7 linked regions of the Oryzias latipes genome follow. The protein of the gene in region 1 interacts with the protein of each later gene in a pairwise test. Links are inferred from orthologs where the notes say so. Each region holds a gene or a part of one and is shown in the gene's direction. Other genes may lie near its edges. The genes, in order: sorbs3, socs7, eif3h, cpne2, trim23, tbc1d22b and vars2.

Region 1 (4,136 bases):
TTCTATTTTCGTTAAACATTGTCCAACATTATTTTTTGTTTTTTTTTAGAAAACAATGGACTAATTTGACTTGAATTTGGATTCATGCTTCTTTTTTTAAACTTTTTGTTTTGTTTTGGTTTAGATGAGTCTTCAACTCTGGGAACATCTGTCAGTTCTGCTCACATGTAAAAGCACAAACCCAGCAGTGCCCTTTATAACCACTGAGGGGCAGCATATTTCCATTTATTATGAGAAAAACCAATAACTCCCTAAATAGAGATTTACTTCTTAAAACTCTTTGAGTTCAAGACAGTGAAACCGAGGCTTGTTGCAGGTATCAATATTATTTTTTAGATAGTTTAGAAATAAATCTTTAGATACCTTGACATCCATTTAAAAAAATTATATTTGAAGGGAAAAAAAATACAACTGTTTATTTGTAATTACACTTGTGTGATCTTTGACTCCAAGTATGCATTAATATTATATATATATTGTAATTATATTATTATATTATATATTAATATATATATAGTATATATTATATATACGCATGTAACATTTCCGACTCACTACGGTGAAGTTCTGGATTGTTGTCTTGACATGTGGATGGACTCTAGACAAAAGACTGAAGGTGTGACCTTTGGTTTGTGATCTCACAGCCTACCTGTTAAATATTTATCTTGGATGGCAGAACTGCACTGCTTTTGATCACAAAGTGAAGGAATCTACCAAACATATGTTTCTGGGGATAAGAAACCGTGGGAATAAACATGTAAATCCAGTCAGAATCTTGCAGCTTCACTGCTCTAGAATCAGATCCATGGCACTACTTCTTATGGTTGAACTGTCGTATTTTTCAGATTTTAGGAAGGTAAGTAGATTTAGTTCTGGAAGCCTTATGTTCTCTTGCATGTGTGTGAGGTAGTCAGCCTGTATGCGTCTGCATTTATGTCTGTGAGAAACAGGTGAAGCGCGTTGACTTAACCCCTTGGTTCACATAAAAAGCTGCCCAGACTGCCTTTTGTGTGAGGAACAAATGTATCAGACCCATCTGATGATAACAGCAGACAGTAAACAGACTGAACTGCTGCACAACATGAGTTACCCATGCTTCTTCTCTGAAAAGAAAAATCGACTTTTGCACCTAGAACACTGACAAGCTGTTCTGCTTAGCTCATGACTGGATGGGAATCTATTATTTCCAGCTGTGGATGGAAACTATTACGGAGCCCTGTCTCCCTGATGAGCGTTAAAGTGAATGGTCGCAAAACAAACACATGCCAGCACGCCTACAGACAGGCAGGGAAAGATTCAGGCCCACGCTGAATCATTCACTATAGATAAAAGCCACCCTGTTGTCCTCAGACTGAAAAGGGAGGGAACGGAGCGAGTGGGGAGAAGTGGTGGTTCCCTCCTCCTTCTGGATTCAGTTCCTCTCTTCTTTTGTGCCGAGAAGATCTGACTGCGCAGCCTGTAAGTACTGTACTACTTGTGCCTCCTGTTCTGACTGTGAGATGAGAGCAGCGTGGGTGACGAGGAAGTAAAAGTTGACAGTGCAGAAAGATTTTTCAGAACTTTGGGATTGTTTAAACAGGAGTTTCAGTTTGCCGGAGGAACATTTATGAATGAAGACACTTGATATTTACAGGGGTTTTTTCATCACTTCAAAATTATTGTACTTTTTTTTTTTTTACAGCTGATAACAGTGATGGTTCTCCCCAAACTTTGAGCTGTCAGATTTTATTCTGATTAACTTTCTGGAAAACTTAAGTCTTTTTTCTAGATACGATAGTTAAATTTAAAGTCCCGAACCGAAATAAGCTGTTTTAGTGCCAGGATAACCCAGATTACTTTGTGTTTGTTCTCAGGAGACATTCCCACATGTGACACTTCACGACAAGTAGTTCTTATCTCAAGCCTCCATGTTTCTGATGATACCTTTAACCTGTAGAGTTGTACTGTCTCTCTCATGTTAACTGATGATAACTGGATTTTTAGACTTTTTTAGTGCGGTTGTCTTTCTTCTTTCAGAAAAAGTCAAATATAAAAATCACGCTAATAAAAACCCAGAAAAACCTGTAACTTTGGTTTCAAGATGATGTAGTTTTTCATTGCATAATCCACTTATGTCATGGTAAATTCTCTCCCTGGAATCTTTGGCTGTTATCCTTTTAATGAGGCTCTGCAGTGTACTGGCATTATGTGAAAGGGCAGTGGTTGGTCTTTACAGCGCAATAAAGATCTGCTGGAAACTTTCCACAACAGTGGGGAATCACGTAGGAAAAGAGCATACCTTGCCTCCTTTTCTGGCTTATTTTTCTACAAGAAATAGGTGTTTTTTGTCTGGATTGGGTGAAGGAAAGATGTTTGGTTGTGGCTTTACCCAGTTGTTTGTACGATTACCTCATTTAACAACAGAATAATATAATGACAGAAGTGCAACCAGGAAGGAAAAAGTCTGTTCCTGCATGGCACTAATTAAGAACTAAGGCTCCTGAAAGGAGCCTGGGTAATGCTTTAAGTTTGGGAGCTCCACCGTTTGGCCAAAAACAACCCAGAGAGCAGTACAGGCTCAGTGAATGAGCTGCTGCCCCCAGGTTTTATAGCCAGACCGCTGAATTATTAAACAGAGCAGAGGCCTTAAGTTTCAGGAGGAAAGTGGCTTGCATGAAGATGTTAAAACAAATATGCAGATTGACTGAAAGTTTGAGTGAGACCATTCAGGCCGGCAGAGAATTGGAGCCGTCACTATTTGTGGAATTTGTAGCTCAGTCTACCTGTGGCAGGCTGTTAGGCAGGAATTGCATGGAAGCAGAATGCATGTATGCATTTTGTCCTTTTGGGGGTTTACCTGCATTGTGATTTGATCAAGAACGACACACGAATTTGACTGAAGTATTCATCTGAATTTGAATAATTGTCCTTTGCACTGCTAAGATATCTATCACGTGTCAAATTATTTTCTCCACATGTTTGTATGTATGAAGGAAAGAAAAACAGTAGTTAAAAGGCTCAGTCCACAATATGCAAACACATTCTTTATGTAAAATAATCACAGAAAAGATAATTAGGAGGAGACATCATGGAGTCGCCTGGCTGTGTTCGGGCAGCAGAGGTGATGAACTGTTTGTGTTCCCCTTTGGTTAACCCTGTGCTGTGAATTATCTCCTTATCACAACAATGGGGCTGTTTCACTGAAGGAGGTGCCCCTGAACTGACAAGCCAAGTGCAGGGTGCCTTTTAAACGCAGGTTGAAAGGGGTTGTCATGGTAATACTTGTCAACCGGGAAGTCTTTCTCGGAGGCAGGCGGTGTGAGGGTTGGGTGTCTGAGAGGCGACCTGGCCAGTTTCAGCAGTCAGAAAAGGGAAACTTCAGGGCCGACAGAGGTGATTCCATGCCCCACTCAGTCAGGGGGAAGGTTTTTATCAGCCCCAGCGGGAAGGTGAGGGGACTCGTAAAGAAAGGGAGCACAATCGAGAGCAGAGAAACTCAGGTATGGCTGTTTAGCAAGTGTGTTGAGTAACCAGTCTGACTGCTCAGGTGTACACAGTGTTTACCTTGTTTTAAATGCTGCAGAAAGTATGTATCTTTACAAAGAATCTAACAGCAAAATGAAGCCTTTAATCTATGGAAGTTCAGTGTTGCAACACCACTGTTTACTGACTAAGCAAGTGGAATAATGCATGCATCCAAGCATGAACACACAGAGTACACTGAGGGCAATGTTTCTAAATATCTGTTCAGGGGCTATGTGTACACCAGGTGAGATCAACATGTCACTCAGCCGTGTTGCTTCCCTCATTCTGAAAAGGAGCTCAATGACTGGACTGTCCAGACCCCCCTGACTGTCAGGGAGATTTCCACAGCTGGCTCAGACTCCCTTTGTCACGTTTCTGTGGGTCCAACTGCCTACAGTCAGCTTTAAAAATGCAAGATGACAGGCAGGAAGATTTGGGAAATTTTTTTTCTCTTACCCGCACCTACTTTCTTATGCTTTGACGGTATATTGAACACATTGAAGAAAATAATTGAATTTCTTTTATGTTGTTGATGAGAATAATCAACTTCGACTCTGAGCTTGGGTCCTCTTGAGGGGAAAAAAGGCTGGGATTTACTGGCCTGAAGCTTCTGCTGGAACGTACTGAACTCT
Region 2 (3,500 bases), on another chromosome or scaffold:
GGTTGAAAATGTATTTCTTTTGTAAGTGACCATGGTATAGGCGGGTTAATGGCCTTCAAAGTGTGCATTATCAGAAATGAACTCACAAGGGGGAAGCCTGAACCGCGGTTCAGGCTTCCCCCTTGTGAGTTCATTTCTGACAATGCACACTTTGTCATACCACACGCGTGACGATGGTATGTTCCATTTCCACCTTGAGGTGGCCGTACGACCCTCATGCATGCGTGCATGTGACTCAGGCTTCAGGAGTGGACTCACAGTTTCTTTTCTTCAAATCCTCTCCATGCGGAGAGTCTGCAGCTTTTGATCCAAACTTTTTGGTGATGAAGTTCAAAGCCCTTTCTGTTAGCGTTCATTAAAATAATATTCCAGTGTGGGATCACATTCAAAAAGGTGTAAATAATTGTTTGTCTGCTGCAGGAGTTTGTGATTTTATTCCCCCTGCTGTGGTTAAATCCTGACTAAAAAAACCACACAAAAACAAATCCAGAAGCTTTTTTTTTCTTCTTCCAGTTTTGCGGAGCTTCTTTAGGAGAAGTGGCAGCTGGACTCAAAGGCAGGACAGCAGATTGAAAGTGAAAAATAAAAGCCCCAGCTGTTTTCCTGGCAGAGGTGGAGAAGTCAGAGGTGGGCGGCAGATGGAAAGCCGTGCCGCGTTTTTTATTCATGCAGCAGATTTCAGCTTGGAGACGTCTCCGTGGGGCTTCACAGTCTTTCAAACACAGATGACAGATAAGCAGCAGAAGAACTTGATGGACGTATGAAACGGTTCAGGTTGGATCTGAAACCAAACCGGCTGCAGTCGGTGGACGGTTCTCTTTAGTGGCGTTTTGCTCTTAGCGTCTGATTTGGCTTCCTCTGATGCCAGAAACCGACTGCTGAACGCCGTTTTGGTAAACAGAGAACCTGCAGCGTCTCAATTAACTTGGGATTGGATGTGTTTCTTTATTGCAGTCATTTGTGCTGATTAGCTGGGTGTAATTCTCCATAAACATCCTGCTTGGTGCACTTTCAGAAAATCTCTGCATAGAAAATAGGATTTTTTTCCATTTTTCCCCTGCAGTTTACGTTGTGGTTTTGCTTTTCATCAATTCAAAAAAAAAATCTGTTTCTGGCTTCAGGTGAGACCGTTTCTTTGGTGGACGTGGATATTTCTCGGCGAGGGACGATCACGCCACACCCTCCGACTCCTCCCCCTCCTCCACGCCGAAGTCTCAGCCTGTTGGGTACTTTTTTTCCGTCCTGATTGAATGTACATGTCCGCGTTTTTGTCATTCCAGCGCAAACATCCCGACAGGAAGCGGTTTCCTTCACCATTCTGCTCCGTTCAGACGCAGACACGTTTTAGGAATCTGCTGTAATCTGATTGGTGGAGACCAAACTTCATTTAAACCTGGAGGATTCAACGACAGAGAGATGAAAAAGAGAAAATCTAGCTTCTCTTAGAGAATTGGTTTGAATAAATGTATGAGAGTGTGACGGGTTGAGCCCTGGGTTAAGGGCAGCAGAGGAATATGTAATGTTAAATTCCTGAAACTGTTTGTTTTCTGACCTTTTAAAGGCGCCTTCTCACTGTGAGTCCCACACATGATGTGGATGCCTCATGATGAATATTTACTGATATTTCAACAATAGGAATTCATCGTTTTGTTCTGCCGTCTTAGCTGCCATGTTCGTGTGTGTCAGAGGTTAAATAAATGTCTTTATGGTTCTGAAGCCGCTGGAAAGTGGATCGTTGGATCTCGACTGCATGCCAGTACTTTTACTTTGACAGTTTCAAACACATGTTGTGGTTAATTTAAAAAATAGGTTTTATGATTTAGGCTTAGTATTCACTGTTATTTGTGATCTGCGGTCTAAAAATGGATTTTTGTAGCTTTTTGTTGTAATTTTGTAAAACACAGATCCAACCCAAACAAAACAAAACCCCAAAATTAGAGATTTGGCCAAATTGTGGTGAAAGTGAGTGTCTGGATCCCCCGTAACCGGACGGTTTGGGTTCGGTTTGTCTGTCTGACGCTGATGCTGCTCAGAAATCCTCCTCTCCTGACTCCTTCCTTCTTTTGTCCCGTCTCTCCTCCGTCCCTCCTGTCATCCTCACAGACGACATAGCCGGGCCTCAGCCCGGCTCCTTCTTAGTGAGCGTCATGGGCGCCTCCCTGCAGTCCCTCCCCTTGCCTCTCCCGCCTCCCCCTCCTCCCTCCCACGCCACCATCCAGCACAGCCTCAGTCTCAATGGTAAGATGTGGGCTGATGTGTCAGAGTTGAGGGGATTTTTTTGGGGGGGGGGATAAACTCTAAAATTGTGATGTTTTTGTTGGTTAGAAACTCTTTTCTTGTGTCTTTTTTACGTCTCTGAATCAGACGCTTTCCTGCGAGCCCTCCCTCATTCCAACCCGTCGCCTGCTGACGCTCCACTTCCCGCCAGACAGGCTCCGCCTCCCGTCCTCTGTGCGCTGCGGCGGTCTGAAGCCAGCAACTTCACTGCCAGTCTAAGAGAGCTGGAAAAGGTAAAACAGTTGCTGCTCGTCATGTGTTGTAGTTTTTAGTCGGAGGATTTCACGTAACAGACCGTCTACTAATGATTATAATTTTATAATAAAAAGACTTAGATTCAAAAATGTTCTGATCTGTCTGTGAGCTGCTTGGACTTGATTTTGTGAAGGCATCAGCCAATCACAGTTCTTGGTGACAGTCAGCTCAGATGATTCTTTTTTCTGTCTGAGCTCAAAAACAAACCGCGTCAGGAGACTAAGCAGTCGGTCAGGGATGTTTTTGCTTTTAGCAAACGCCTCGGGGCTGATCAATAACCAAACTGTAAGAATTGAACAAAGTTCCTGGAAACGAGGCGAGTGAAGCTCTGGTTGCATTGAAGAGGAGCGGACACGGCGTGGGTGAAAACCAGAAATCCAGATGTTCGGTCAGAGCAGAACATCGCGATCCAGAAACGTCGCTTCTCAAAGTCAGCAATCCGCTCCAGTTGTGCCTTTTGTTTAAACAGATCTAGGGTTGATCCGCTTCACTTCACACAGAGTCTAACAGGATCGTTTAAATCTATAAAATAACACTTTTTGTTTAGTTTTGTTTGAGAAAAACTCTATAACTCCTTAAGCTCAAATAAAGAGTAAACCAAAGCCTTTTGTCTTTTTAAAAATCAGTTTGGAAAACACCAATCCTGTATAAAAAGGTCACCATAGCAACTATGGTGATCAGACTTTCACATGATGGGATAGATGGGTGGTCGGATGCTGTATTTTTCAATAGGTTGTGTGTTTTTATCCAGAATATTATCTTAACTTTGACAGGAACATTATTTTCATGCAGCAATAATCACTGACAGAAAGCCAGAATCAAGACTAAGATCAGTCTCTACCGAAAAGACGTAACTAACTATAAGAAACTGCTGAAATGTGCAAAAGCAGAAGCCAGGTCTGACAAACAGGAAAGAGTACAGACACACGGCTTCCCTTCAAAATAAAACAGGAAGTTAGTCTGAACTA
Region 3 (3,500 bases), on another chromosome or scaffold:
AATTGTCTACAGTTTAAAAGCAAAAAGGAAGACTTACCCAAGGATTGAACCAGATTACTTTAAAAGGTACTTATCCATAACGGGAAAAATAAATATTTTATTTAAAAGTAAGAAAAGGCTTCAAACATTGCAGCATTTCCATAACTGTTAGTATGAAGAAACTGCATCTCTTGTCTTTTCTGAAACTTTTCTTTCTCCAGATTGTACAAACTGATGATGGATCATTTTCAGGAACATAACTTTGATCTTCTCCTGCCAGCTCCTCTAAAAACCTTGTAGTCGGGTGGTTTTCTCATTCTAAACCAGGCCTCCTGTTAATGTCAATCAATAATTCAGCACTTAAAGGATCAAAGCACCCCAAAGGAATTTACATTATCTGTTTAAAGTCAAAGGGGAAGAAATACATTGATTTCTTCTTTGTTTTCTTTGTCATCGGCTCACCGGTCATTTCATGCCGATGAAAGGATCAATCATTCGGACGACTGGTGGGTAAATGGCTCCTGTGCAGTGAGCTTGGAAGCAAAGTGGGTAGTTAAGCTAACTGGTTAATTGCGTTCCCCGTAGCAATTGTTTCTACAGGGGAGGCAAACAGTTGAAGGTTATAGGTTAGAATAGACACACATCTTACTAGAGCTGCTAAGTCAGGAACATTGAGTGCATCTGATGGGGCTTTGTGCCTCATTAGTAAGAAGCTTTATAATAACAGTTTACCCCTGTTTGGAAATATTAAGTAGAAGTGAATATTGCATGGGTGTTGACCATTTGAACTTTCTGATACCTCTGTGTGCTGCTCCAGCAAAATACGCATTTACTTTTTTGCATTCATTTTTTGGGCTTTCTTGGTATTTTGCGTGTTGAATAAAATAAATACTTGTTGGAGGAAACAAAATATATACTAATTGCTTCCTTAGTACCACTAAAAAAGAAGAAATTGCATAAAAATCCCAGTCTAGTATATTCTGCATTTCTATGCAGAGCATGGTTTCTGTGGGCTTAGGAGAGCTGTCCTGATCAGGACTTTCTTCCCTCTTGGCGGCGATGAGCCGTGACTCTCGGCTAACTGTCAGTTTTGTTTGGGGCCAGCTAATCTGTAAGTAAATGACCAGGCAATCGGAAAGGGAATTGTTGGCACCAAAACTTCATCTGGGCTGTCAGTCCTTTGGATTCAAAAGATTTATTCGGAAGGCAACGGAAAACGTTGAAAGCTTTGGTGAAATCTTTTTAAATAAATACAATAAATCAGAACAAGTGGAATGTGCCACAATACAAGTTGGACCACAAAACATCTTATCTTATGTTTTTCTATCACTGATGTCGCCATGGGTTCTTATAGCTTAACTGTTAGCCCCCAAAATTTCTTAGTCATTTTTTTTGTTTAGGAATAAATTTAAGATTCATAGCAGAGGATGGCAAACAGTTGCTCTTAAGGCTCCACCATTAAATAAAAAATAAAAAAAAAACATTTTTTTTAAACAGGAAAATCGTGTCTGATATTTTCTGTTTGTTTAATCATTAGCATCTTTAGAACTCTCAGCCCATTTCTCTTTACCTCCCATGAGTGCTGTTAGAGCATGCAGGCATTATTATGTGAAGGAAAAAAAAACAAGGAAACAAGATTTGTTAGCTGCATAAAAGTAAACAATTCACTTTTTTTCTTGATTTCAGATCCCATCAAGACAGCCCAAGGCTCCCTGTCTCTCAAAGCCTACAGGCTTACCCCCAAACTCATGGAGATCTGCAAAGAGAAAGATTTTACACCAGAGGGGTGAGTGGTTTTTTACAAGAGTACACAAAAACACTCCTGCTGCTGCTCTTTGGATTAAGTGTAGCAACCATCAAATATTCCTTTCATCTATTTGTTTAAAACCATCGGCCCCTCATTGCCCATACTTGCAGTTAAATTTTCCCCTTTTCCCTGGTTTAATTCTGTTTATTTGGGGAATGCAAACACAGCCTGGTGCATCCCCAGGGGAGGCATTTAGTGGCAGTTGGAGATGGACGCTGATGATGATGATCATCATCATGATTTATCAGCTCACTCCTCCTTGCCCGTCAAATAAATGTTCCATGTTTACGCTTTTTGTGACCCCTAAGGCTTATCGTAATTGCTTTTAAATTGCAGCTAAAAACAAATGTAATGAGGGAACTATTTCCCATGCAGTTCATTGCGCCACTAGAGCACTAACTCACTCATGCAAAAAGCATATGTATAAGGATGCCACAAATGCTCGGGCTAATACAAGCATGTCAGTGGAACATGGAAGTCCCAGAAGCTTTGAGTTGCAGTCAATTCCAAGCAGCCTACTATTGGAAGTGTATTTGGTACTATTTAATTTCCACCCCTCTGTATTTTTTCACCCGTGTGAGTCCCTTTCCAGCCAGTCTGTTATTGACCCTTAGTGTTGGGCCTGGACTCAGGATTACTTTAGTTTCTGCAGCTTTTCATTAGTTCCTATGATTTATTATAGCTCCAATCTGCCACTTTCATTGTTCCCAACAAGCCTCAACTGAAATGGGACAGCCCAGGGCCAGAACGGGTAATATTAGTTCTATTATTACAAATTCAGCTTTATTCATTTTTATTTTTTTCTATTTACCAAAAATTCATACCCTTTTTTCTTTTCTTTTTATCCCCAAAAGAAAAAAAGGAACAGTTCTTCTTCAGCTTCAAGCATTTGATGTTGAAAGGTTGAACATACTGTGGTCCACATTGAGTGAGAAATGTAGATAAAAGTGCGCTGATTGGAAGCAGCCCCTTTTGAACTTTCCTCCAACTCCATGATTGCCGTTCAATAACTTCAAGGGGTTATTATTTTGGTAATGCATTTTATAGTTCATTAAATAGATATTTTTCCCCAAATTCTGACAAACACTACTCATTTTATTGATTTCTCCCGATGTTCTGCTATAATTCATGCTCACTTGTCTTCTCTACTCAACGCCCGAGGCAGCTTTGCCAGCCTTTGTGCCTCAATCTTATCTTAAAGTTTGCCTGAGGGAATCTTGCACTCAGAATCCTTAACATGATCAAATGATACACTTCCTGTCCATATATCAAACAAACACGCATTATGTAAACATCTTTGTTGCTGGAACAATGCACATATTAGAGTAACTCACTGAATATTGATCCTGGGGATGAGATTTTAATACTTTACCTCTATTTTGTAGAACATGCTGCAAAAAAATCAACAAATTGCAAACTCAACAAAAACAATCCATGTGTATTGTAGGTCCTCATCATTGTTAGTAAAATTCACTCTACAGTGAAAAATAAAATCAGTTTATAGAGGGTTAGATATAAGATAAAACCTTAACTAAGGATCCTTTCCTGCTAAATGTCCTTGAAAACGTATGCAACCCCCCATTCTTAAGTATACTCTGTTATGAAAAGTGATGTCTGTTTTTTTAGAAAGACCAACTGATGACAACTGTGTTTTTGGTGTTCTTGTGGTATTTTTGTCATGATGGAGGACATCTATAAAGAAAATTAAAACTGC
Region 4 (3,500 bases), on another chromosome or scaffold:
ATACATAGGAGAAATCAAAGGAGATTTAAGATGGAAGGAAATTGCCAATCACTTACCAGTCACTACAACTTTTGTGCAAAATTGACAATGATGTGTTTGTAATATATTTTTGAAAAGGGATTACTAAAAGTTTAAAAATTGTAAAAAAAAAAAATCCTTTGAAACTTTCAGGAACTATTGAATGCTAGTTCTGTGGTGACGGGTAGGCTGACGGATGAGATTAGACAGGAATCTCAGTTGACCGTGTTGTTTACAGATGACATTGTGATCTGTATGGGAGCATGTTGAGGCACATTTAGAGGTGGGAGTTTATTCTGAAAAAGAAAAGAATTGAAGGTTAGGAGCAGCAAGATAGAGGTTCTGTGTGTAAAGAAGTTTCATGGATGTAGAGACATGAGGCTGGATAATGGGAATGAGTTGGATGCTGAGGAAAGGGTTAGATGAAGGCGGAGAAAGGGTGTCAAGTACGATAACTATGAAACCAACGAGAACAGTAAGTGACAACAGTGTTTTGATATATAGTGTCTCACCCATTGAAAAACTCACACCCTCTTGTGTGAAAACAATTGTCATCCCTGCTGTAAATCGTTCAACTCTAACATTTGTGGTCATTTTAGTGTTTATTTATCTCTTCTACGTTACTGTACAAATAATTCCACTTCTTTCTGATTTCTGCAGGTCGGTATAGACTTCACTGCTTCAAATGGAAATCCCAGAGAGCCATCCTCTCTGCACTACATTAACCCACTAGGCAGCAATGAGTACCTCTCAGCTATTTTAGCTGTTGGGCAGATCATTCAGGACTATGACACGTAAGTAAACAACCACTTTATTATCATGGAAGTAAATTCAAAAAGTAAACTTTACTGTTTTTGTCAACCATGCTGGTGCAAAACTTGAAAATAGACAATTAGCCTTTTTTATGCAGCAGGAAATTAACAAAATCTATGTTTTGGTTTCCAAATTTACATTTTTCTTTTTTTGGACCATTTAAAAAAAAAAATTCTTGAGTAGACTTTCATAAGGGTTAAAAGCTAAAATAAAACACAAAAGCAACAAATACAGATCAGCAGCTTAAGCTTTTTTAAAGACCTACTACAGTGAAAATTGCATTTTGGGTGTTTTAACGTGTTCTTGTGGCCTTTTTCTGATGATAGAGGACATATAAAAAAAAATCAAAATCAAAATTGCCTTTCTGAGCATTCCTTTATTCAAAGTGCTGTGAATCAGGAGCAGAAAAAAAGATACAGTTTGAAAAAGATCGTATTTGTTACGTAAAAAATAGACTGGGTGGGCCACAAGCTCCCTGCCCCACTCCATTCCAAAGCATCCTCTTGTAGTCGACTAGATCTATGTACATCTTTGGTCTGAGCACGTATCTTGTTTAAAAACTGTACGGCTGGATAGCGCCGACATTGCTCGCCATATTGCACCAGTAACGTACGTGTAGGGTTGTGAGGGGCTGTAAGCTAGTGGGAGGAAGTGTAAACAGAGAGCTCCCTTTAATGGGTGACGGGAAAGAGTTGCCAATGCTCCCGCCCACAACTCAGAGATGAATGTTTACTGAACTCCTGCCGCTCTGCAGAGATTATGTCCTAGAAAAGAACACAGGTTTTTTGATTTTGGCTAAAAACATCTAAACATAATTCAAAGACCACTGGGAATGCTATTAAAGTACATCAAAAGATGATTGGAGTTGGTATTCAGTTCAGTTTGACTGATCTTTAATTTTTTCCCAAGTGAGACACCTTCCTCAAAGAATTAAGTATTGAGGAATGAATTTTACACAGTTTTTATCAAGTGGTACTTCCTATTATTCTCCGCTCATGATCTTCTGACTTAGTTAGGCTTTTGTGAATCCATCTCCAGTCTTATCATGAATATTTATTTGCATGTAGGTTTCCTTTGACGTCTAACAAAGTATTTTTTTATTTGTCACACACTGCATGTTTTATTTGCTACTGTCTTGTTCTTTTTAAATATATATATACTAGAGCATCTTTGAAGCAGTCTTCAAAATGAAAAGGGTATTTCTTGAAAACACTGACAAATGGTGAATGTCTGACTTAAAAAAAACTCGATGACCGTTTCTCCCTGCTGCATCACTTTTTTACCTGCCCTCTGCTTGTTTCCCTTCAAACTGGCAATGTTTCTGTGAAATCTAGGTAACCGGGTTGCTTTCACATGGCAAGAAAAATTAAAGTAATGCTCTCAATCTGTTGTCATGGTTTCATCCTCAGTGACAAAATGTTTCCTGCTCTGGGATTTGGTGCCCAGCTCCCTCCAGACTGGAAGGTATGTGTGTAGCCATGTTTGTGCATGAGGCAAACACAAAGGCAGATCACAATGATGAATCATTTGTAAACTGTTATATTTATTCTGCACGCACAAACTGTAGGAATTCACATGCATATTCACATGATTTTGTGACTACCAGCCCATCTGCGTTGCCATGGCACTGAGCCTATGCAAAGGACAAAAACACAGTACACTCGGGGTGGGAGGGAGAACGTGTGGAAAGGATTTAATCGTGTTTTTCCTGTTAATATTTCACAATTTGGTGAAAAATCCTCTTTATGATTCAGGTTTCTTCTTTCTGCAGGTTTCACATGAATTTGCCATCAACTTTAACCCCACTAACCCCTTCTGCTCAGGTGAGAAGGTTATTGAGAAGCAGCTGCCATTGTTGGGGATTTTGCTGCAGCATTTGGAGAAGTGTTTGGTTTTTCACAGGAGCACTTTCACCCTTAAACCTGGAGTCTGCTGTGAACAGGTGAACTCTGGTGTTCCTGCAAATTAAATGCAGTTAACTATAGAATGAATGCAGGCGAGTTGTTTACCAGATCAAAGGTGGGAGGCAAAACAATAAAACTGGTGAAAGTACAGTACTGTGTCATTTTAAGAAAAATCAAACCAACCTGCAGCACAAATCTAAGAGAAACACCCGCAAAAATGGTTGGAAAAGTCTTGTCACTATGGTGTAGAAATGAAATGATGTTTCAGTTTCCCTCATCATGCTTTTTTTATTCTTAGTCAGACTTTGTTTTAGGAAATACCACAAACAAGCATCAGTGAGAATCGCTTGGCTTTTTCTAGGTAGTTTGATTGTCAGGTGTGTAAGCAAACTCAGCCAAATGAAGGTGGGAATATGTTAAGAATTTCCTGGCACAAAATACACCATTAAACACTGTTGAATAAAAATGCTGATATAAATACTGAAATCATGAGTTGGTGGCTATCCAATTATTAGATTGTGGGTGAATGCACGACGTTATTATTTCTGGTCTTCAGTTGTAAGCAACACTTTATGGCTGTGTCCAAATTCAGGGGCTGCGTTCTTCCTGGCCTGTATTCATAGGCTGCTTACATCACAGCGCCGCGACAAGTGCTGCCCAAATTCAATGACTTCTTCAAATGTGGCCAACGAATATAGCCTTCTTTTTCCCCATGTTCAAGGATTGGTCTGGTGTATCCTTCTATGCTGTACATATCCAAAGATG
Region 5 (4,244 bases), on another chromosome or scaffold:
AATGTTTGCATGAAGCATGACGTTTTAGTATAAAAACAAATGCGGGGGTTTGGAGACGAAAACACGAAGCTGCTTTGTGTTGAAGTAGGTCGCGCCGAAAACACGTCATCATCAAGAGACAGTAGTCTGTGGAACTGTTTTTTCAACAACTTTATTGTAATTTTTTTTAGCAGAATACAAAAAAACTAGTGAAAATTAAATTATATAAAAAACATAACATAATACAGACTTATAGCAAAAACGGTGGCAAAGAAAAACAAGTAACATAAATACTTAGGTGTAAAATAGGCTAAGTATGCTTTATGTAAATAGTTTTTAAGATTCACAAATGTTAATAATCTTATTGAAAAGGAGCCTGTTGTCATATTTTGTTCTTTTCTCAGTTTGAAGAGAAAAACCACCAAAAACATTGTTATGATAAGAAGCTAGTCTTGAAGAATGATGGGTAATGTAGTCTCTAGTAATAGTAGTATTCCATTTTACACATCCTCATAATCATTGTTAATTTGTTTTTGTACACCTTATATCTCCTCCTTATATCAGCTTAATCTCTTTTGTGCTTATAAATTCCTTCTATTACACTTTTATTTTTAAATTGAATTTTTATCCTTTTTACGGATGTTATAAAGTTCTTATTCTCATTTATGTTTATTTTGTATTTTTGTTGTTGAGGTAAAATTGTTTTTTAGGAGACAACTGTTTTACCTGTCCAGGTACGACAGATGATAAATAACCTTTTGGCTAACTTTGGTGAATTTGCAAAGATGCATTTTCATGTGCAAAAGGTTATCTTGTCAAATAAACTAATAAAATAAATAAATCCTTAATACACATTTTACATGCTGTATTATACAGGTGAAATTGATCCGATGTTAGAAGAACGAAAACGTTCATTATTAATCATGTATAATTTATGGTAATTAACATACAAGTCATGTATTATATTGTAACGATCCGGCCGGACCGTCACTTTAGTGGGGTAGCGAAAGCCTACTGCTCATGAAGAGGTTCTAATGGATAGCTGTCCGTGCCCCATACACCGTACGACACATTACAGTCTCAAGTTGGAAGAAACGTAGAGAGAGGCAATATTAGTTTTTATGCAACAAGCCTGTTTATTCTAGCACACCATACAGCCCAAACAGCACGGAGCCTAACTTCAGCTTCCAGCCCTCTGACTCAAGGTTTCACCTAAGCTCCCCACTTCCCATGAGCCTTAGGGGCTGAAGGCGGGGCTAACCCCCAGGTCGCTACAATATGTTAATGTATTAATTATGTTTAATTGGTTATTATTAAATATTTCATTTTTTTGTTTCTATTTTTATCCAATATTTTTACAATTTAAGAAAAGGAAAACAACGGACGCATTAGTGTTAATTGGAACCGGAAGTTGATTTCACACCTGCCTGTTCACAACAAAACTCAGTAGACGAAACCGGAAGTAGCTGGGAAATGTAGTCTCGGTCTGGCCCGGTCCTCTGCACTGTCGTCTAAGAATGGCGGCTGCGGGAATAAACAAGCAGGGCACCGTGGTGACGATGGAGCCCTGCTTTCGACACGGGAGGGGGGCGAACGGAAGCACCGTTAAGGTTCTGATCGTGACTTTTATTTTCTGATTAGAGTCGGACTCCTGCGGCGGGGCAGCATCAGAGTCGAGGGCAGGGAGGCTAGCAGGATGAAGAAGAAGAAGCCGCTGCGTTGGCGTAGCCTGTGGATGTTAAACGTGTAAAATAGTGCAGCGTGCATCTCTTTATTCATTATAACACTGTTTTTAACTATAATGAATGAGACCTGCTTAATTCTAGAGCATTTAAAAGGCTGGTTTGGTGTTTGCGACACATTTGAGGTGCGAAGGCTAGGTGCCACTAGCTTAAAGTTAAAGTAGCTATAAATTTAGAAAAAATGCTTCAGATTACATTTTATATTGTTTATTTGCTGAAAAGTCTAATGCGTTGGTGGCGAAACGAGCAGCAGCTGTTTCCTGCAGCGTGGAAAAATGTTTCCACTCGGTGTCCGTCCCTTTTTCAGGTGCTGGAGTGCGGAGTTTGTGAGGACGTCTTCTCCCTCCAAGGCGACAAGGTCCCCCGCCTGCTGCTCTGCGGTCACACGGTGTGCCACGACTGCCTGACCCGGCTGCCCCTGCACGGCAGGGCGGTCCGCTGCCCCTTTGACAGACAGGTCACGGAGCTGGGTGAGTCCGGGTTGCTATGGCTACCGCGCCTCACCCATCTCAGTGGACTAGCGGTAGAGTGTCCGCCCCTGAGACAGGAAGGTCTTTGGTTCAAAAACCCCCTGCTTAACCCTCAGCATTGAACCACAGAATGGATCCAGAGTGCAGATGTGTCTGCGGCTCACCGCCTCCATAAGTTAGCAACTCACGTAAAGCTAACATATGCAGAGTTGTGCATGAGACGCTGAGAATGCAATCTTCATCAGTAGAGCAACAGTTGAGCTTTGTGTTGGCACCTCTTCTTAAAACAGACGTTTTCTTTCTTCACGTCTGCTCAGGAGATTCGGGGGTTTGGGGCCTAAAGAAGAACTTTGCGCTGCTCGAACTCCTGGAGCGACTCCAGAATGGAGCCACCAACCAGTCAGGAATGTCTGAGGACGCCCTGAAGGGCATGGGAGAAGTGAGTGGGTGGGTGGGGACTTGTGCTTTGCCTCTGTAGTTTCTTCTCTTCGCACTCATTCCTCCCCCCCTTAATCCAGTGTATAATACGGTGTGACGAAGACGAGAGCCACACAGCCTCCGTGTACTGCACCGTGTGCGCCACCCACCTGTGTGGCGAGTGCTCCCAGCTCACCCACTCCACTCGCACGCTGGCCAAACACCGCCGCGTGCCGCTGGCCGATAAGCCTCACGAGAAGATGCTCTGCCCCCAGCATCAGGTCCATGCTATCGAGTTTGTGTGCCTGGAGGAGGCGTGTCAGTCCGGGCCTCTCATGTGCTGCGTCTGCAAGGAGTATGGCAAGCACCAGGGACATAAGGTAGGCGAAGGCGTCCTTTCAGGGTCAGGATCTTGATCTGAAATGCTAATGCGTATCATTTTTCTCTTTTAGCACGCTCTCCTTGAGTCTGAGGCCAATCAGATCCGAGCTTCTATCCTGGACATGGCCCACTGCATCCGCAGCTTCACAGACGAAGTGTCCGAGTACTCCAGGAAGCTGGTGGGCATCGTGCAGCAGATAGAAGGAGGAGAACAGATCGTGGAGGATGGCGTAGGCATGGCGCACACCGAGCATGTGAGAAAACCTCGCATCCATCAGTGTGAAACCATGACTCCAGAGTTTCCCCTATCGTGACCTCTTTTTGTTTTTTTGTTTTCCTTCTCGTCAGATTCCCGGCACAGCAGAGAGCGCGCGCTCCTGCGTCCGGGCTTACTTCTCAGACCTCCACGAGACTCTGTGTCGGCAGGAGGAGATGGCGCTGAGTGTGGTGGACGCCCACGTTCGGGAGAGGCTCATCTGGCTGAGGCAGCAGCAGGAGGACATGACCATCCTGCTGTCGCAGGTCTCCACCGCCTGCCTGCACTGCGAGAAGACTCTTCAGCAGGTAGCTGTGCTTCAGATCCCAGCTCACAAGTCTGTTTTCCTTCTGGCAGGTTTAGGTTTCTTTCTTGCATCATTTCGATAACTTTAATTTGGAATTCTGACACACGCTCAAGTACATTTTATCTATAAATACATGTTTATTTTTTTAAATACATGTCATTTCGTGTTTTGCTATTTTTTAAACTGCCTTACAAGCTTCGGGTGAATTAGCATTAAACTTTTTTTGCATTTATTTTTACATTTCGGTGGCCCAGAAGGGTCACAACACAACACATTAACTTTACACACAACACATTAACTCACAACACAACACAATAACTCACAACACATTAACTCACAACACAACACATTAACTCACAACACAACACATTAACTCACAACACAACACAATAACTCAACACATTAACTCATAACACAACACATTAACTCACAACACATTAACTCACAACACAACACAATAACTCACAACACAACACATTAACTCACAACACAACACAATAACTCACAACACAACACATTAACTCACAACACAACACATTAACTCACAACACAACACAATAACTCACAACACATTAACTCATAACACAACACATTAACTCACAACACATTAACTCACAACACAAAACAATAACTCACAACACAACACATTAACTCACAACACAACACATTAACTCACAACACAACACAATAAC
Region 6 (3,500 bases), on another chromosome or scaffold:
AAAACAGGAACTTCACCAAAAACATTTGACAAGTATTTTGGTTTATTCAAACTCTCAAACTTCAGGTGAGCAACACATTATGTTCTGATGGAGTCTGTGACTCTGCCCCTCCCACATTGCCATGACAAAAGCAAGACTTGCTGCAAAAGCTGTGGCCCCCTGACCTTCAGGGAGTCCAAGTTTTAGTTTTTTGTGTATTACACCCTTAAAGTTCTGTTTACCCAAACAGTGAAGCAGGTCACACATTTAGCAGAGCTAAAAAAACAACATTTGAACAATTTAAAGCAAAATCAATAAACGTTTGAGTAAATATGGAAGGCCTGTAATACAAACTTTTATTTCTCAGCAAAAAATGGTTCATCATTAGAATGGAACTTCTAAGAAAATGTAGAAAGCCAATTTCCAAAAATGATGATTTCTACTCATCAGAACCAAAACCTTCTAGTTTCTCTAAATTCAACTTTTTTGTGTGTTTTCTGTAAACGCATACAAAACTTAAGTGGTTTTATGAATTTAAATGTGTACATTTAACCCAATTAAAACAGAAACAAGGATAAAAACATCTAATAATAGAGGTCAAACTTCATATATTTCACAAAAAAGACATACAATTCCCAATAATATAATAAAAGAAGAAGCAAACAATTCTCCCTAAAAACTGGGGAGTTATAAATAAACTTTTCCAAAGAGAAGGATTTAAGATTTGTTTAAAAAGCCCTCACTTGAAAAATCAAAGTTTATCAATAAATATGTCTGATTTGAATGTATTGATGAAGACTCAATGACTCGCCAGGTTTCTAAAATTTTGATCTTATTTTTAGAAAACGTCCTAAATTAAACCGAAAGAATTTAACCAGCTGATTGAATTCCCTGAAATGGACCAGCCACCCTGTTCTCCAGGTCTCCCTGGCCTCCTTGCTGATGATGAACTGACTCGGATGTTTCCTCCTTGTGTCTGATCCAAGTTAACCAGGGGTGCAGGGAGAGCTGGAGAACAGGCAGGGAGTTAGAAGACACGAGTTCTAGAGCCTTGCAACTGAAATAAGGAAGCCTTTTGCTTGATATAAAATTTATTACACGAAATCATTACCTTATCAATGCATCTAATGTTCTTATTCGTCAAATAGTGTTGCTGTGTAGAGCTGAGGTTGTTTTTATTTATTTATTTATTTATTTATTATAAAAATGTTCATAACTTCCTGTTGTGCCGATTAATTTGTGTCTGTATTCTTATGACACAGTGAGTGTTTTTAGGCTGAAATTTCTTTTCATAAGCTGTAAATGTGATGATGTTTTTGGTTTTTTTTTCTCAGGTGTTTGAGCGAATTCTCTTCATTTGGGCCATCCGTCATCCAGCCAGCGGCTACGTTCAGGGCATAAATGACCTGGTCACGCCCTTTTTTGTCGTCTTCCTGTCTGAGTTTGTCAGTAAGTTCAGAGTTTGGTATTGAGGCCTAAAGACCCACTCCGATAAAAATTGTGTTTTTAACACGTTCTCAATGGAGGACAAATATTTGAAGAAAATTTAGCTCAAAATTACATTTATGAGTGTTTCTTTATTCAAGTCTTTGTGAATCAGGAGCGGACGAAAAAATGTTGTTATGGGTGACGGGAAAGGGGGGGGCGCCTCAGCCTCACAAATGCAAATTAATAATGAACTATTGTCTGAAAAAAAGTACTTTTTTATGGGCTAAAAACAGCATAATCATAATTAAAAGACCACTGGGAACGCTTTGAAAACAGACCAAAGGATGATCGGAGTGAGACTTTAAATGTTCCTAAAACCAAAACCTGTAAACTTGAGGTGAGTTCTGAGTTTGACTGATATTCCAGAGGAGCACGTGGAGAACTTTGACGTGGCGATGCTCCCTCTGGACACCCAGAGGAACATCGAGGCAGACAGTTTCTGGTGCATGAGCAAGCTGCTGGACGGCATACAGGTGCAGCTCCTCGTTCTCTGTGCAGTTCTCTGAAACGCCACCCTTTTCACTGAAGCAAGTTACTTTTTAGGACAACTACACCTTCGCCCAGCCAGGAATCCAGAATAAGGTCAAAGCTTTGGAGGAGCTGGTCAGCAGAATCGATGGTAGGTGGATGAATCTCCGTCTGACTGCAGGATGCACGCTGCACCCCAAAACAGAAATCGTATGAATGTAAAAACTGCTTTCCCTCCTCAGTGGATATTCACAATCATTTTAAGAAGTATGAGGTGGAGTACCTGCAGTTCGCTTTCCGGTGGATGAACAACCTCCTGATGAGGGAACTGCCACTCCGCTGCACCATCCGTCTATGGGACACCTACCAGGTACAGAGCTCATGAGCACGCAGATCAAGACCTGTTCAGGGTTCGGAGGATTGATTTCTTAGAAAGAATTTGTACTGCAAGAATATTAAAGAGTGAACCTGCACTTAGTTGTTGAAGACGTTTTTAGTTTAAAAAAACTTAGTCCAGATTAAGGTTTTAAAAACTTTTTCTGTCATGGGTCCATCCTTACGACTACGAGTATTAGGGCCACCTTCAAAATAAGAAGATAAATACATTTATGAGAATAAAGTTGTAAAATTATTTTTAAAAAATAATTTGTAATTTTAGGAGAATAAAGTCGTGAAATTACGAGAAAAAAGTCAAATATTTCGAATATCAACTTGTAAAATTATGAAGAAAAAAGTCCTAATTTTAAAAGAATAACTCGTAGAATTATGAGTAAGGGTGAATATTTTACTACAATAAAGTTATAATTTCGTAAGTTTAGAAGTTGAGAATGTACAAGATTAAAGTAAAAGATTTATGAGCCAGAAGGCTGTTTACCTTGAAAAATATAAACAAAAAGAATCAATATATATATTCAGTACATAGAGCGCTTTGTAAGCGGTTAGTTCAGCATTTGTCTTTTTGTGAGTCCACATTGTTTCATTATAAGGACATTGAAAAGACTTTGAGAGAAACTGGAACTCTTTAGAAGAAGATTCTTGACCCACTAGGAATGGATTTTCAGAGGGCGCGCCGTTTATATGGTCAGCAGTGTGGTTGCAGAGGTCCAAATGCATTATGGCACATAGATTCTTATGATGATGCACATATTTTTAACTTTTGATACTTGATCAAAGTTTGCTATGAAAACTTCTGAAATAGTGTTATGTCTATTTTACTGATATAATATTATGTTTTAATCATATCAATGACTTTTATAAGTAACATAATTTGCATATATTTTGGATGCTTCATTGCCATGTTGATTTCTAAAAGTTATTTTTTACAAAATAATTTAAGTAATTTTCGTTGTCATGTGCTTTATTGATACTTCAAGATTCTTAATCCTGTCTGATAAAAGCTAGGAACTGGATAATAATAAATCATGTTATAAAATGGTAACGGTAGAACAGAGGTGGGATTATATAAGTTCGCTTCCTTCCACTCCCTTTCAAGCGATATTTGTTAATATTTCTAATTATCCTTAGTTTGATTAGTTATTTTATGAATGTATAACTGATGGTTGTTT
Region 7 (3,500 bases), on another chromosome or scaffold:
GTTATATCGCGATATAACTGAGTTATAACTCATTGGACGGAAGCATCGCACAAACGTAGAGATCGTGTCTTTGGTGGAGGAAGAAAGGATGGAAGTGGACAGCTGCAGGGACACCGATGGCTTCATCGGCTGCAGGGATCCTGCAAACCACCCATCAATAAATAAAACATTAATAAATCGTAAATCAAACAAATGAACTTCCAAACATTTGGAACGTTATCAATAAACCTTCAGCTGACCTGTTCAATTGAGTTTAGTCGGTCTGCTCTGCACTGCACTGCTCTGTATGCTCACTTCCACTTTAATCTCGGAAAATTACGAATTTTTTCTTAAATGTACAACTTAAAATCTCGTAATTATACTTTTTTTTTTTCTTTTGGTGGCCCTAAAACTGTCGTAGATAACAGCTGTTCCGATTTTTTTTTCCTTTTTCTGCCTTGTATTCAATTTTTTTCTGTAGTTGCTAATGTTTCCCTTCCTTTTTGTTACAGATGTTCCAAAGACTTTGTTTTCATCTGTCTTCTTCCTGTTCTTTCGTGGCTTCAGTTTCTAACTCATCTCTTTTATAACAGATGGTTTTGTGTGTTTTTTTCTTTCTTGTTCTTCCAAACTCAGGCTGCTCATGGCCGACCGAGTCTGGTTCTGGTGAAAGTTTTATTATTATTCTATTTATACGAGCAGTTTTCCCTCTCCACAGTTGGTGATTGGTCACTTTAATGTAATCAATTAGTCCCTTATACAGGATTACTGTAATTTTAAGTCACAGTTTTAACAATTTGGGCTATGTCAGATGATCAGGTCCAATTTAGAGTATAATATTTAGGAATTGTTGGAATAAATTGGATAATAACAATTGCAATGAATTTATCATTATTTGAGTTTTTTTGTCTGTTGTGAAGCAACAGTCTAAGATGTTAATTGGTACTTTTTAAATAAACAGAACTGAATTGAATTTAACTGGTTTTATACTGGATAAATTAAACCAGTTAGCATGTAAAGATATTATTGTTAATTTGATAATCTCATAACCCTTTTCTTAATCAGATGTTGAAGCTGACAACAGGAAGAAGACCAAGATTATCAGGAAGTTTCTCTGTAAAGAGAAAAAGAAGAAAAAAAAGCCATATTGCACAGTTTTTTGTTGCAATAACAATACATTTGCAATTTATTGTGCAGGCTTTCCGGAATAAATCTATTTAAAGCATACTAGTGGGGAACACACGTCATCTAATGAGTGAAGTGCAAATTCTTCCCCTGTTTTTATATCCAGGCAGTGGTGGAGAGAAGACTTGTCGGGACGAAAGGGAAGCGCAGACAGGACTTCACCAGAGATGAGTTTCTGCAGGAGGTGTGGAAGTGGAAGAATGAGTAAGTCCTCTTCCCTGTTGACCTCAGATGAGTTTGTTTGTTATGCTATTCCTGTCATGTTTCCTCTGAATGGCTTCCAGGAAAGGAGATGAAATCTACCAGCAGCTGAGACGGCTTGGAGCCTCTCTGGACTGGAGCAGAGCCAGATTCACTATGGATCCAGTGAGTCCCAGTTAAACCCAATTTTCTGTTTAGATGCATGTGAAGATACAGCCTGAAAGATCATCAACCACTGCTGAGCTGACACCAGCTGAATTCTCTTATGCTACAAGCAGTAGAGCATACAAATGAAGTGAGATGTTGTGATTTGGTTTGGATTGCAGGGTTTTTGCAGCACTGTGACAGAAGCTTTCGTCAGGCTCTGCGATTCAGGTTTGATTTATCGCTCTGAGGGTTTGGTGAACTGGAGCTGCGCTCTTCAATCTGCCATCTCCGACATTGAGGTGAGACTTCCTTAGAAACATGACCATGTGACCAACAAAGAGCATTGAGCCACATCAGATTCACAGAGCATCTGGAGAGAATTCCTTCAGAATTCAGTTTTTTATTTATTTATTATCATTTCAATCATGTTTGTGAGCTGAGGGTGCTTTGTTGATTTTATCCATTTTCTTTTTCACAGCACTACAAAGTGGAAATGTGATTTTTTTATTTTTTTATTTTTTTAACTGCAGGTCGACTGGAAGGATCTGTGTGGGAAGACCTTGATGTTTGTTCCCGGCTATGAAAAGCCGGTAGAGTTTGGTGCCATGTTTACCTTTGCGTATCCTGTAGAGGGCCTCGGTGAGATCAGGGACACCAGCTGTGTGGTCCAGCTGGATTCCACTTTCTAACTGACCTGGTTCATGGGTTTCAGAGGCAGAAGTGGTGGTATCCACCACCCGTCCTGAGACGATGCTCGGAGACGTTTCCGTAGCGGTCCACCCCGACGATCCTCGATATCAGGCCAGTGCTTGCTTTACAGTCGATCTAGTCTGGTGGTGACTTTAACACAAGTAGCTTTTCTGACCCATAATGCATTTTATACCATGGTCCGGGTGAATACTCAATTCTGATTGGCTGCTGGGTGTGCGTTAAAAAGTGATATACCACAGGATAACCGCACGGTGAAAGAAGAAGTTCCGGTCACCTAGCTTAAATGTTTTGTATCACTGTGCCGGCTTCTTTAAAACAACCTTTTGCTTCATCATTTGGACAAAAACAAGCGGTAAGAGGTGAACTTTCTCTCTGAACTGATGCTTTATTCAACCAATCGGAAAGATCAGCATATATATATCACTTTATATCGGCAAGTCTTGACTGCAGTGGTGGTGCGGTGCGGCGCGGCGCAGACTATTAGACTACTTGTCCGCTTTTTGTGAGAAAAGCGATCCAAATTGGAAAAAAAAAAGAATTAAGGACTAAAAACTGGTTACTATTTATTTCTTTTGTAAGTGACCATGGTATAAGCGGGTTAATAGCCTTCGAAATATGCATTATCACTTTTTAACACACGCCGCGGAAGCGTCGGACGGTTCAAGTTTCCGCAGCGTGCGTTAAAAAGTGATAATCCATAATTCGTTGGCCATTAACCCTTACTAAACGCACTTCGCTGAAGCGTCGGACACACTGCGTCAGCCATTAACCCTTACTGAAATCATACACGAACAGTAGTACTAAAACGGATTTAAGAAATCTTGTTTTAAAGATCTACTTAGATGAAAATCTTGCTCTTTGTGTTTTTTAACATGTTTTTTTGGGCATTTTTCTGATGATAGGGAACAGATATTTAAAACAAATAAGCAAAATAATTCATTTTGAAATATTTCTTTATTCAAATTTTTGTGAATCAGGAGCAGATGGAAAAAATATTGTTGGAAAAAGATTTTATTTGTGACATAGATCATACACTGGGTGAGTTACAAGCTTGCTGCTCCACGCTCTCACCAAGAGACAGGGCAAGGGGGACAGGGTTGCTCTGAGTTAACAGTCCCGCCCACAACTCAGAGGTGAATTTCTAATGAACTTCTGCCGCTCTGCAAAAACTATGCCCTGGAAAACAACACAGTTTTATTTTTATTTTGCTGTAAAACGGCAAAATCATAATTAATATCTCTAGGAATGATATTAAAATAGTTTAAAAGTCAATCGGA

The links.
Region 2: the proteins of sorbs3 (region 1) and socs7 interact in binary tests that used the Homo sapiens proteins (3 or more experiments, as listed by UniProt). The link is inferred for Oryzias latipes from reciprocal best matches to the Homo sapiens genes SORBS3 and SOCS7.
Region 3: the proteins of sorbs3 (region 1) and eif3h interact in binary tests that used the Homo sapiens proteins (3 or more experiments, as listed by UniProt). The two-hybrid records come from large-scale screens. The link is inferred for Oryzias latipes from reciprocal best matches to the Homo sapiens genes SORBS3 and EIF3H.
Region 4: the proteins of sorbs3 (region 1) and cpne2 interact in binary tests that used the Homo sapiens proteins (3 or more experiments, as listed by UniProt). The two-hybrid records come from large-scale screens. The link is inferred for Oryzias latipes from reciprocal best matches to the Homo sapiens genes SORBS3 and CPNE2.
Region 5: the proteins of sorbs3 (region 1) and trim23 interact in binary tests that used the Homo sapiens proteins (3 or more experiments, as listed by UniProt). The two-hybrid records come from large-scale screens. The link is inferred for Oryzias latipes from reciprocal best matches to the Homo sapiens genes SORBS3 and TRIM23.
Region 6: the proteins of sorbs3 (region 1) and tbc1d22b interact in binary tests that used the Homo sapiens proteins (3 or more experiments, as listed by UniProt). The link is inferred for Oryzias latipes from reciprocal best matches to the Homo sapiens genes SORBS3 and TBC1D22B.
Region 7: the proteins of sorbs3 (region 1) and vars2 interact in binary tests that used the Homo sapiens proteins (3 or more experiments, as listed by UniProt). The two-hybrid records come from large-scale screens. The link is inferred for Oryzias latipes from reciprocal best matches to the Homo sapiens genes SORBS3 and VARS2.

The regions. Positions count from the first base shown.
Region 1 is NC_019867.2:17,343,990-17,348,125, reverse strand, and holds the start of sorbs3 (vinexin), read left to right. Parts: upstream 1-1,336; 5' UTR 1,337-1,458; intron 1,459-4,136. UniProt on the Homo sapiens protein: Vinexin alpha isoform promotes up-regulation of actin stress fiber formation. Vinexin beta isoform plays a role in cell spreading and enhances the activation of JNK/SAPK in response to EGF stimulation by using its third SH3 domain.
Region 2 is NC_019859.2:1,854,352-1,857,851, reverse strand, and holds part of socs7 (suppressor of cytokine signaling 7), read left to right. Parts: intron 1-1,121; coding exon 1,122-1,226; intron 1,227-2,103; coding exon 2,104-2,238; intron 2,239-2,364; coding exon 2,365-2,510; intron 2,511-3,500. UniProt on the Homo sapiens protein: Substrate-recognition component of a cullin-5-RING E3 ubiquitin-protein ligase complex (ECS complex, also named CRL5 complex), which mediates the ubiquitination and subsequent proteasomal degradation of target proteins, such as DAB1 and IRS1.
Region 3 is NC_019874.2:13,857,147-13,860,646, reverse strand, and holds part of eif3h (eukaryotic translation initiation factor 3 subunit H), read left to right. Parts: intron 1-1,665; coding exon 1,666-1,765; intron 1,766-3,500.
Region 4 is NC_019864.2:24,986,726-24,990,225, forward strand, and holds part of cpne2 (copine-2), read left to right. Parts: intron 1-678; coding exon 679-812; intron 813-2,240; coding exon 2,241-2,295; intron 2,296-2,602; coding exon 2,603-2,654; intron 2,655-3,500.
Region 5 is NC_019870.2:3,058,623-3,062,866, reverse strand, and holds the start of trim23 (E3 ubiquitin-protein ligase TRIM23), read left to right. Parts: upstream 1-1,444; 5' UTR 1,445-1,496; coding exon 1,497-1,589; intron 1,590-1,700; exon of another isoform or gene 1,701-1,725; intron 1,726-2,028; coding exon 2,029-2,191; intron 2,192-2,508; coding exon 2,509-2,630; intron 2,631-2,709; coding exon 2,710-2,988; intron 2,989-3,060; coding exon 3,061-3,243; intron 3,244-3,337; coding exon 3,338-3,553; intron 3,554-4,244.
Region 6 is NC_019865.2:4,879,952-4,883,451, reverse strand, and holds part of tbc1d22b (TBC1 domain family member 22B), read left to right. Parts: intron 1-1,313; coding exon 1,314-1,428; intron 1,429-1,833; coding exon 1,834-1,940; intron 1,941-2,010; coding exon 2,011-2,086; intron 2,087-2,177; coding exon 2,178-2,305; intron 2,306-3,500. UniProt on the Homo sapiens protein: May act as a GTPase-activating protein for Rab family protein(s).
Region 7 is NC_019869.2:21,527,952-21,531,451, forward strand, and holds part of vars2 (valine--tRNA ligase, mitochondrial), read left to right. Parts: intron 1-1,270; coding exon 1,271-1,368; intron 1,369-1,448; coding exon 1,449-1,530; intron 1,531-1,691; coding exon 1,692-1,811; intron 1,812-2,042; coding exon 2,043-2,151; intron 2,152-2,224; coding exon 2,225-2,313; intron 2,314-3,500. UniProt on the Homo sapiens protein: Catalyzes the attachment of valine to tRNA(Val) in a two-step reaction: valine is first activated by ATP to form Val-AMP and then transferred to the acceptor end of tRNA(Val).